Linked DNA regions of Ovis aries. The protein of the gene in region 3 purifies or fractionates together with the protein of the main gene of each other region. This does not show direct contact. Links are inferred from orthologs where the notes say so. Each region holds a gene or a part of one and is shown on either strand. Other genes may lie near its edges. The genes, in order: FBXW7, MYCBP2 and FBXO45.

Region 1 (4,316 bases), on a different chromosome or scaffold from region 3:
TCTTTTTTTAAATCCTATAAGAAACTTAAACTGATAGTACTTCACATTTTCCATGTAACATGCTCTTTCGATGAATAGCTGTGTAGCAGCAGCACGGGAAAAGCAGGGTTCTTGGCAATCCCAGCTCAATTGCATCTGCAGATGAGGATTTAAAATTCTGTGCAGCAGACAGTACCTCCAGCAGGCGAGTAAAAGGTTACTGCATTATTTGCTTGTTTGTTTTCACAGCCTTTATCTACAAAAGGTTTTGTAAAGATGCAGTGTGAAGTGCATGCCTGGTTTTCGACATTCTGGAAATTGATTTAAGTTTACATGAATTTCAAAAGGGCAGTGCAAGGTGAAGGAAGAGGCGATGCTAGCTCTTTTTAGATTTAAACCAAAGAAACTGAGCATGAGACATACGCAAATAAAGAACCTACAGAAAATAGGAAGTTTTTTAATGCTTTTTTAAAAACATTAAAAAAATTTTAAATACATTTTACAATTTTAAAATACATTTTTAATACAAGATATTTTTTTTAGTTCTTAGACTTCTTCCTCAAAAAGAATGCTGTTAACAAAGACTGATAATTGTGGGTCTATGAATGTTCATGAAGTTACATTTGTTTTGAAGTCTAATTGTTTGGGAAGAAACTATAATTTTTTATCAATGTAACCCTCTCTTCTCCTGGAAATTATAAGGTGGATTATAATAACATGATGTGTGTATATATATATATATATATCTTTATATATTATTGGCAAAAAATCCTAGAGGATGGCTAACATACTTAACAGTGTTTATGTTTTCAGGGTGGTTTGTGTTTTTTCAATCTTTTTAATGAGATGCAGATAAACAGGTGGGAGAAGATTTAGTATCAAAGCAACCAGGTTTTTGGTGGCTTATCATCTATTATCAATACCTGTCTATAAAGTCACCCACCCTTTCCTTCTCATTTTAACTCTTCTGACATTTATGATGGCAGGGACCTCCTTGGATTCTCTTTCTTAGTTGCTCTATCCTTATCGACACGACTGTCTTTGATATAGTATTTTATTGCTCCGTAATTCTCAAGTTCAAGTGCAGTATTGAGAAGGAATTTTTTTACTTTGGCTATCAACCACCATCCTGCTCTCTTCAAGCCATACTCAGAGATTATTATTAGCTACTGTCTAAATTTTGTTTAAAAAATAGTTATGCCTATGTCTTTTTTCTTTTAGATTGAATAACAAGATTGAAAACAATCCTATAAATTAATCTACAATATAGAAGTAAAATCAGCTGTTATTCTTACTTTGAGCGTTTGGCAGGCTTCCTGAATTGTAGAGTCAGAAAGGGTCAGCAGTTCTGATTGGTAAGTTAAAGAATCCGTCCAGTAATTTGCTCCCTGTTGTTTCTCAAAGCAATGCAGCAGCAGTTCTTTTCCAGATATTGAGCGGTTCTTGAACTGAGTGTATGGGGACAAGCAAGGGTGGGGCTCATTCCTGTTGGTTGTTGAGACAGTGGGCATTTACAGAGGGAACAGGTTGGATAGGCTGAGCCGGAGGAGTAGGCAAACAGATCTAAACTGATGGAAGACAGAAAGAGTGGTTAGTATAATTTGGGGATATTTTATCTTGAGTTTGCTCCTTTATTAAGTACTTGGGCTTTAATATAAAATAGTTTGAAATATTAAAGCACCTTACCTTCTTTCTAAGGAGTAGCCGGGAGACTTCTGTTTTTAATATTGAGTTCTTCTTGACAATGAGTTTGTGGCTGGTATCTTCTGTAGGGAAGCTATTGTTTTATTCTTTTTTTTTAACAGTGTTTCTTTCAGCCTGAGGGCTGCAGAATGAGGCAGTTAGCCAGTTTTGAGTATACATGGGACATTACTAGTTCTGAATTTTTAAGTTAAATTCTTGTCTGATGAACAAGTCAATGTGTGGCTGTGGCTGCAGCGTTGTTTCTTCCTTAATGAAGAGGTTGAGCCGTTCGACCTGCTGCTCCGATCTGTTCTCTGGTAGCCATACATCAGACCAGTTGCAGAGATTATCCACCGAATGTCCTAGACAACCAAAGGTAACTACATAGATTTATTTCAAATAAAAATATGCAATTAAAATTGATGCCTTATAACTAGGACCAAATAATTAAAAATAAAAGATCAATTAAAGATGTTCTTCGCAGTTTTCTTGACCTTGCAGTAGCTATCCAATATCATTTTGTCATCATCAGATTGTGTAGCAATGGAAATGCACTGCAGTAATTGATTTTGTAATAGGATCAGGTGATTTACTAGCTGCACTGACAACCACTTGCTTGCTCGCTCTGAGCAGTAGAGCTCTCTAATGGATGTTGTGATTGCAGCCCGGAGTTGCTGGGAGACTGCTGGCCACTTAAAGCAGCAGCATGTCTTTTTAAAAATGAATAGTGAATTTTTCTTTTTTCTTTCCTGTGCTTTAAGTTTTGGGTGAGCTCAGTAAATTTTATACTTAGTTTGAGTGCCCCCATGAAATGTTAGAGATTAGGTGTTATTTCATCCATCAATTCATCAAAAGTAGCCTTGAATATGATGAAATATAATCTCTGCTCCCTACTCCTAGTTGAGCGTCAACATATGTATCAACATACTTTGGTGTTGATCGTGAGAACACATCTCTAAACTATAACAATTTATGTTAACCTGTGTCATCTAAGTGAAACAGAATATTCTTCACATATGTACATTTCACCAGCTTCAAACTCTAGCTATAATTGTGATACTGGCATTGTGGTGAGTCCTTGTACTGGGGGTTTGTTAGAGCTGTCTATTCTTTTCTGGTCTTCTGCTTTCTTAGTGTTCTCATAGATGTAACAACATTTAGAAAATCGAGTTGGACCAATTCTAAGGAATGTTGATGGAAACATAGACGCTATTTTAAAGTAGTGTTTAAGAATATAAGTATTTAAAAACCTGTTATCCACGATTATGAATTTTCAGTGATTATAGTTTAATAATCTTTATTTTCATCTTTTATGCATTTTAAAACAATTGATTATAAATATAGAAGTATAAGACTAAAGCTTAAAATAGAACTAGTGTTCTGTAAAAGACTTTCAGAAACTGGTGCCTAAGATTTTGACGACTTTAAAGTTCTGCTTAGGGCTTTACATGAGGAAGGAAAATTATCTCCCCTCTCTACATTCCTCACCAACTCCTCTACTTGTTTAACTATCTAACATATGAAGTATTTTGTACAGAACTTGATATATAAAAGTGCTGAATTCTCTTTCCTTCCCTAATTTACATTATTTAACCATGTATTTGTTTTTGCCATGATAGAGATGCTATTTCTTTCAACCACATCTAAAACATTTACATTAATTAATCAGTGTTAGTAATTTGCTATAGAAGAAATTGAGCATAAAATTGCCATTGTATATTATAGTCAGACCTCCCTGGGAAGGCAGCTTTTCTTTGTAATGTACTTAAATACTTGCCCTTGAAAGATGAAAATATTTCCAGTATCACTCTGCACTTTTCCTAAGTCCAGATACTTAAAAGTTTAATTATAGAAGATGGTAATATAATTTAAACACTAGAGTTTATAATCTTTTATTATTCAATGGTAACAAGTTTATTGCCCCCTGCCCCCTCCCCCCCAAAACCTCTATGAACACTGATAACATGAGGATAAGGGTGTGAATATCATATGAGATTTCATCAAAGATAATGTTGAAATTTCATATATATTGAAATGTTGAATGGTAGATTACCAACAAATCAGTCATTGATATAAGTTTCACTGAAGTGGTGTACATTTAAATAGGAGGGAAGGAAGTCAATACCGAAAGTGTTGACTACTTTTTTAGAAGATTGGTGATAACAGATAGGAGAGAAGTGTGCTTTGTAATTCAGCAGTATTTCATGTGAAATAAATAGGTAATTCAGTTGGTGAGGTTCTAACCCTAGTGGAACTGCCTTTTATTAGAGCTCTAGATCAACCATTAAAAGACTTGGATTTAATCAGACTCCTGTCACTGATCTACTTGATGACTTTAATCAGTTTATACTCGAACATTTTTAAGGTTCCTTAAGCATGCTTCTAAAATGTCCACTAAAAAGAAATCAATGTACTCATTCCAGTGTGAGGTATTATAATACTTGACCTGGAAGCAAGTTGAAGTTAGGAGGAAGGATGAAATTTCTTAAGCAGGTTTTAGGTGATATTAATGTTTTTCATGTTTTTTTGATGGCGGGGGAGCATGAGGAGAGGGACACTTTTATCTTCTCGAAATTCAATATTCTAGATAATTACCCTCGTTTTTAAAAGAACAAATTTGGGATTCATTTCTAGAGCTGCCAGTCTTCCTTATC
Region 2 (3,649 bases), on a different chromosome or scaffold from region 3:
CCTTTTACTTTTAATCTTCCTCTGTCGTAATGTTTTAAAAGGTACAATGCTTATAAACAGTACCGAGCTTTTGTTTTTTTCTATCTATTCTGACAGCTTTTTTAAATTGAGGATTTAGTCTTCTACTTTTTTACTGTAGAAATATAAATGAGATCCATAAATCACAGCTACAGAGGTATAAATGTGGCTGGAACCCAGGCTTCCAGGGCCCACAGTCAACGCTTTTCCATGATACAGGCTGCCTCCTATAAAACTAAAGTCTCTTCTAGCCAAACTTTTTGACTTTCAGGTCCAGGCACAATCTCATTTTCATTCTCTGTGCCTTACAGTAATGCTGTGAAGTAGATGGCCCTTCTCTATAATAATGTTGCCTTCTTCATCTTATATTGCACTGTACAGTATATATCTTCCAACTGAGTGCTTTGTGTGTGACAGTGATGGCTAGTGAGAAACCAGAATTGATTGACAGTGTTTCTGGAGACAGAGAACTTTCATTCAGCATAGTTAGTATGTTGCTCATAGCTCTGAATTGGTATTCTTGCCTTTAGGTTATATAATCTGTGAATGACCTCATGTAAATTATGGTATTACCTGAAGAGAGTTCGACTCTGCTATAAAAATATGGACAAATAAAAAACCAAGAGTCTCACTCACTTGTTCTGCATTTTCTTTGTTTGTTTTGTTTTCCTCATCCTCTTCTTCCTCTGGTTCCACTGGAGCAGGAGTCAGAGACGCCACGAAATGCCACAGAACATCATGGAGAGAAGTGGTCTGGATGACGTTACACAGAAGCCAGTTGAAAGCCTGCACGAAAGAGAAAGTGAAACTCGCTCAGTCGTGTCTGACTCTTTGCGACCCCATGGACTATATAGTCCATGGAATTTCCAGGCCAGAATATTAGAATGGGTAGCCTTTCCCTTCTCCAGGGAATCTTCCCAACCCAGGTCTCCTGCATCACAGCTGGAATCTTAAACCAGCTGAGCCACAAGGGAAGCCTGAAAGCCTGAATAAACAATGTTAAATAAGTCCAAGATAAAGAGAACCTTCTGGGACTCAAGTATTTTATGGGAAGACTCTAGGAAGACTGATTGTCATTTCACTGAAAGTATACTGAACTTACACTGTCAATAATTCTGGCCCTAATTTAAAAATTAATAGTAGGGAATATAATACCTATGAAATGCAATTCAAAAATACTTTTCCAAACTACTTTTCATTTCAAAAATTTGTCTGAATATTAATTTACACAAGCACATTTTTTCCAACTTGCATTTAGAATCAACATGCATTTAGAATGTTTCTTAAGTTCTACACAAGCTGCTACTTACTTAAATATAGATTCATGTGGTTCCCACTGATGAATATCATGAGTACTTTCTACTCCATGATAAAGAAAAAAGATTTGTTATAGATACAAGTCTATGATATACAGTGATCCATTTTCAGAGAACAGAGACCCAGATAAATTATCTTCGTTAAATTTATAATTCAAAAGCCCTACTTCGGATCCCTTTTGCATGATTACTCTAACTGAAATGACACTGTGATTATAAAAAGCTTTTTTAAGAAGATATTGTCACGATTCAGATAATAAAGCAATGTAGAAATGATGTTTTTCAGAGTGCTTAACTATGAAACTCAAATTCATTTATATTCCTAAACCTAGGAGTTTAATTTTGTTGCAAACACAGTATTTTCTATTCACTGAGGTCTCTTAATTTGTCACAATTTCTGTTCAGTAGAAAACTGACATCATTAAACAGAACCATCATATGAAGCTTATGATTAATGAATTAATAATCCTATTCATGTATTCTTACCTCCATAGCAAAAACTCGACAAGCAGATTTCCTTAAAGCTTGTTTCATTGCTATTTCCAGACCTTCTAGATCATGATGCTGTATAACAAAGGCTAAGACTGGCCACTGGAAGTTCCGTTCTCCTTTGGAGAGGGAGCTGTGGGCTGAGATGAGCCGGGACAGCTCGGGAGATGGATGCCTCAAGAGCGAAGAACCCACTTCTGTTTGAAGGAAAAAAAAAAGTATCAATTTTCATAGGCAACACATATTAATATATTTAAAGTGATTTCAAAAAACAGTATCCAGCTTATTCACTTAAGTGTCTTTGGGGGTTTTTTTGTTTTTGCATTTGACACAAATCTTAATGATTTCAATTTTTTACTGAAGCTCAGATTTAAATATCTTACTTAAAAGTTATATACCTATTAATTTTCAAAGGTAAGTTTTGAACCCAGGTCTGAAAGTTCACACTTTCTGTAACACTATACAAAATGTGACTTATTTTCTCCCCAAATGGAATCCCCAGCATTTTCTAAAGGACTGCTTTGTAACAAATGGTATTTCATTAAGAGCCCAAAGATACTTGTTGAATATATCCTCAATATTTTCCTAGAAGATCTTCAACAAGATATATAATCATCTACCTAAAAATATTAGGTCAGATCTTCGTTTAATAAGTAGTTGGCCTGATAACCACTAACATGTTATCCTTTGCTTCTTGGATTTCTTTCTTTATTCTTAAGACAGGATTAATTAGCCTCAATTTGGGGCTGCCAATACTAATTAGTCCAGATTATCTAAAATTTTTCACTGATTACGAGCTAGCCGTATCTCCAGTTTTTATTATCTGTTTGAGTGATAGTACTTACAAGAGTTAATAAGTTTCTATTGAGAATATCATTGTGAAAGTGTCAAGTCACTGGAACTGCTGATTTACTGAAGCTTAGTGGGAGGGATAATGGTAGCAATATTCAGCTTAGATACCTAACAAGTAGTATATTTTAAAGATCCGTTTATTCTTGAATAATAGTGCATGATGTCTGGGTGTCTCTTCCAACTAAGATGTAAAATTTAGAGAGGCACATTTATGGCTGTGTCACACAGAAGGAATGTTTAACCACGATTTAAAATTAATCCATTCCTCTGCCTTCAAAAATTAGATTTAAAAAATCTACAAATAAAATCATTAGGATCACTCAATCTTCTTTTTCATCTTTATACTTACCAGTATCTCCACTGTTAACTCTTCTTCGAGGAATGGCTTTAACTCGTGCAGGTAAGATGGAGTGCTGTTTATCATATTCAGAAGCAACAACGGAGTAGGATCTTTGGAAGACAGTTCTCTTTGCGAGATCAGTATCAGTTATGGGACTAGTTTCCAAACTGCAGATAGAACAAGGTGACAGATAACTCAGGAGAAAAAGGGAATGATGTTGACACTGTATTTACTTAGTTTTTAACAGCGTAGTCAAATGTGTGAACCATGTGGAAGAATACAAATTCAAAGCCAACTTGACAATATCTCTTTAAGCCATAACTGGATCTTTCCAAATGTAATCACATTTTGACTGATTTCAGAACTGCATCTTAAAACTTTTGCTTCTCTTAAATCTACTTTGCATTTTAAATGAAAAAGAAGAAAAGGCATCAAATATTCTAAGCTTCTCTCAGAAGCAAAAGCACTGGTGGAAGACACATGTCATGATATTCAGGAAAAAAAGGCAGATATCTTCATAACAGCACCGAATACGAACAATGAAAATATATACACGAGGAAACCTAATAAGAGGGAAAACGAAAGGATATAATTTTCCTCTGGTTCTGAATGTTCTATGAGGTTTCTCATTCTC
Region 3 (4,158 bases):
ACCATACATATTTCGAAGGTTCCCCTCCAATTGGTTGTCCATTCTTAAGTCACAATAACCTCCTAAAAATGTAAAACTATCACATCACCAACCCCCATACTCCTAACTGTCCTTCACTTACAATTTAAAATGGCTTCCTTTTGCTTGGCTCCAGTCCACCTCTTCATCTTTATCAAACTTGCCTCAATTTTGCTCTCTGTGGTCCAGCCACACTGATTATCTTCTGTCACTCATACTCACCAGGTTCCCTCCTGGAAGGCTCTTCTCTCTTTCTCTGGCCTATTTATCCTTTTTTTTTTTTTTTTCCTGGGTCTCAGTGTTATTTTCTCAGAGAAAGCCTTTCCTGACCTCACTACTTAGGTCAAATTCTCCACTATTAACATTCAGAGCACCATGGATCTAACCTTCATAGGACTCATCACAAATCACAAAGCATCCATAAGCATTTGTATTTGTTTTTATTCAGCATTGCATCTGCAAAACTGAGCATAGTACCTAACATTCATCTTTTTTTTTAATAAAAATATATACTATTCAAATCCTCTGCCTTCCACTGTCTTGCTTTTTGTTCAGGGTATTTCCTCTTAGTAAAATGTTCATATTCTCCCCATTTTAAAAATTCAGCTCAAATACAATCTCAATCTCAACCCTTCTAAAGCTGTTCACTCAACTTGTGAATCTCTTTCACTAAAATTCTAGTTTCTAACTAATAACCACTAGTTATTTCTATACATTGTTTTTTCCTCTTCTCCTAGACTGAGGACTTTCCTACTAGGCTATGTATATCCTTTTGAATTAATCTTTTATCTTCAAGATATTCAAGAAAAGTCCTGCAACATCTGAATGCACAAGTCTATAATACCTACAGTTCCAGTAGTACAAAGGCATACAAAGTATTAAAATTTATAAGCCTCTGCAAGGATACAGAAAAACAGGTAACATAGGCTGCCTCCAATCTGGATGGTGGGGGTATAAGGACTAAAGGAAGACATTTTGCTTTTAGATCACTTTGCTTCAACACTGACTCACATGAATACATTATTTATTACATATTACTACATGAATCTTGAATCATGTGAACATGTCTATTACAGGCCAACTACAAAAATGTCTTAATTTAAAATAAGTAAAAATAATAAACTTTATGGAAAAATAAAAACTAAATAAGATTCATGAAACCTATATGTTTATTAGGCACAGTAAGACAAAACAATCTTCTGCCCTCTACTAATATGAATTACAATTATTATCCATCGAGCATCTACTAACTGTCCTTGCAACTCAACATGTTATTTCACTTAATAAACAATTTGACATATTTAAAAGTAGTAATCCTTATCCTAACCTTACTAAACTGAAACCTATTTTACTACAGAAGACCACTTTTACATTTATTTCACATGGAAAAAATTTTTTCCATGAAAATTTACTTACTCTGGCCCCACTGGCAGTCTAGCATTAAAAAGATATGTTTTCCCTTTTTTAGTTGTTAATGTATTTTTATGTTTACCATATTCTAGATCAGACTTTATCCTCTCTCATGTATACTCTTGGTGACTGCAATCCTAAATAGCTGTATCCATCCAAACTGAACTCAAGTTTACAGCCATTTGTTTATATTGCTTGAGGAATGCTCTCAGTCCTACTAAGATCTGTTACTTGACATTTTTATTTGTATATGAAAGCAAGACTAAGCACAAGAGTCTGGCAGAGGGCGGGGGGGGGGGGGGGAAGGCACCAAAAATGGAAACGGCATGTTGGATGACAAACAGAACATAAGAGACACACCAGCAAGGTGGAACTATGAAAAAGTTGGCAAGGCAATAGCCAGTAATAGTGGGACATGGCAATATTACGACTGTTAAGTGGCGCCAATGGTACGATGTTCTATTCAAAGCCTTTATCTTTAAAGTTAGCAGATGCCTTGGACCACACTTATTTATAAGCCTGTAACATAGCGGAGGGAATTTAAGGTACTTGGGCAAAAATAAAACAGTTATAAATCAGAGCTTGGAAAACGTGAGCTGAAAGCAAAAATCTTAGAAACTAAGTCAATAAGGCAGCCGAGATGATCTAATAAAGGACAGAGAGAAAAACAGGATTAGAGTATTGAAAGCTAAAACAATGGCCTGTTTTTAAGGGAACAGACGGTGGAAAGTAGAATGAATGATGGAAATCAAGGATGGAAAACCATCTGATCCTTTAAAAAGTACATCACGGAAGTGGGGTGGGTTAAGGAGCAGAACTTCAACCCAAAGAGATCTTTATGGCGGGGGAGGCGAGGTAAGGTACTGACTGGAGCGGTGGGAAAGCGCTTCTGACTCAGAAGCTTAGCTGAGAAACACTGAGAGCTGCGCGGAGAAGCGGGACAGGGGGCAGCGGCGTGGCGCGGGGCTCCCTCACCTTGGCCTTGTAGCTGGGCAGGTTGCAGAGGATGTCCGTGCGCAGAGCCTCCTCTGCCAGGCTGCGGGCGCACAGGCTCCGCCACACCTCGCTGTTCTCATCGCCGTGCAGGCAGCGGTACCAGTGCTTGCACACCAGGGCGCAGCTCCGCAGCTCGGACAGCTCCAGGTAGGAGAACACCAACTCCAGCACCCGGCTGGGCAACCGGCCCCCGGCCCCAGAGCCCGAGCCGGCGCCCGCGCCGCCGCCACTACAGCCAGCGCCGCCCGAAGCTGCCCCAGCCCCCGGGGCCGGCGCCGCCATCGCCTCACCAGCCGGCCCGAGGGCCGCCGCCGCCGCCGCCGCTTCCCCCCGTCTCTGCTCCAGAGGCCAAGCCTCGCCTTGAGACCGGAGCAGCTCGCTCACCGCCCCTTTCACAGCTAACCGCCCGGCCCCTCCAAACCACTCCCGCCCCTGCCCGGGGGCGTCCGCCGCGCGCCCCGCCTCACTGAGGGCAGACGCACCGACTGCACGGGCGTCCCCCGCCCCTCCCCCGCGGCTCAGCGCGGTCGCCGGAACCGCCCGACTAGTACGGCCTCCCCGCGGCGCGCCCGTGGCTCCGCCATGCGGGTTGAGGGCACGAAGCAAGGACGCACGCCCAGCTCGCGCGGTTCCTCTCGGCCCCGGATGTGACTATTTGGCTGCGGCGCCTCCCGCCCTACGCTAGATGGGATTGGGCGCCCGTCGGTGAGGTCATCGCCAGGCGCCTCGGTGGGAAGCGGGAAGCGCAGGTATGAGGTTGGCGCGGGTGGGTTTCGGGCTGTTCTCCGTCTTTTCCCCTTTTTGATCTAGTGGCCTCGCGTCGGCTTTTTTGGTCCCCTTTTCCTATAAGGTTTACCTGAGTCATTTGCGTTCCTGTTGGACCATTCCACCCTAACACAGGAAACTTCCCTCTCCTTACTAGCCAGTCCTAGCTCCGCCACCTTGAGTTTGAGTTAGATCTTCCTTTTCCTTCGGCAGCTGAGGTCGTGTTTTCCTGGTCAGGCCCTCTTGTTCTCCCTTAGTCCTGTATGTAGCGTGAGAGGTCGCTACATTTGAACACCTGCCGCCCCCCTCCCATGTTTGGGTAACCTTAAAGCGCTCTTTAAGGGCTACATTATTTTGGACAAAATATGGCCTTTCCCAGTCTTTCCTACTAACCCACCGGTTAGTAGGCGAATTGAGGTGTGTTTTTAACTAGTCATTCTAGTAGGGAGAATGACATGGAGGCTATAATTAAGAACACTATTTGGAAGGGAAATAATTTCAGCATTATTTAGTCATACTAGTTTTCCTAGGTGGCCAGAACGTTTTCCGACAGCCTTTAAAGAATGCTCGGTAAGAGAAAATAATAACCATCATGTAAGACAGGCAATCTACTGGGGCCCTTTACGGGAGAGTTTATATAACTCTCAAAGCAACACTGCGAAGTAATTGTTAAAATAATAGGGTTCACAGATTCCCTTAGTAGTTAATTCCACCAGTTAATTCCAGTCTTTCCTTTATGTAGTAAGGAATCTTTTCGAAAGCTCTCCTGCTGTGAATAATCCATTTCTTGTTTTCTAGTAAAAACAAAAGAACAGCACCTACCATCTCTACTCTCTGGTAAGTGGTGTTTGATTACTACTTGCCAGTCCCTTCTTCCTAGATGTTTTTTCCTCCAAGCTTAGTCGCCCAGATTCTTTTCTTTCTTATTAGTGTCAGTGCCACAGCCCTTCAACCACTCACTTTGGAAAA

Evidence for each region.
Region 1: the proteins of FBXO45 (region 3) and FBXW7 purify together in Homo sapiens (affinity purification with mass spectrometry; 4 studies listed by BioGRID and IntAct, counting the BioPlex papers as one, with this or other methods). This does not show direct contact. The link is inferred for Ovis aries from reciprocal best matches to the Homo sapiens genes FBXO45 and FBXW7.
Region 2: the proteins of FBXO45 (region 3) and MYCBP2 purify together in Homo sapiens (affinity purification with western blotting; 7 studies listed by BioGRID and IntAct, with this or other methods). This does not show direct contact. The link is inferred for Ovis aries from reciprocal best matches to the Homo sapiens genes FBXO45 and MYCBP2.

The regions. Positions count from the first base shown.
Region 1 is NC_056070.1:5,397,665-5,401,980, forward strand, and holds the start of FBXW7 (F-box/WD repeat-containing protein 7), read left to right. Parts: upstream 1-1,406; 5' UTR 1,407-2,038; intron 2,039-4,316. UniProt on the Homo sapiens protein: Substrate recognition component of a SCF (SKP1-CUL1-F-box protein) E3 ubiquitin-protein ligase complex which mediates the ubiquitination and subsequent proteasomal degradation of target proteins.
Region 2 is NC_056063.1:52,794,720-52,798,368, forward strand, and holds part of MYCBP2 (E3 ubiquitin-protein ligase MYCBP2), read right to left. Parts: intron 3,183-3,649; coding exon 3,025-3,182; intron 2,021-3,024; coding exon 1,821-2,020; intron 805-1,820; coding exon 655-804; intron 1-654. UniProt on the Homo sapiens protein: Atypical E3 ubiquitin-protein ligase which specifically mediates ubiquitination of threonine and serine residues on target proteins, instead of ubiquitinating lysine residues.
Region 3 is NC_056054.1:191,912,590-191,916,747, reverse strand, and holds the start of FBXO45 (F-box/SPRY domain-containing protein 1), read right to left. Parts: upstream 2,859-4,158; 5' UTR 2,707-2,858; coding exon 2,404-2,706; intron 1-2,403. UniProt on the Homo sapiens protein: Component of E3 ubiquitin ligase complex consisting of FBXO45, MYCBP2 and SKP1. Functions in substrate recognition but also plays an important role in assembly of the complex.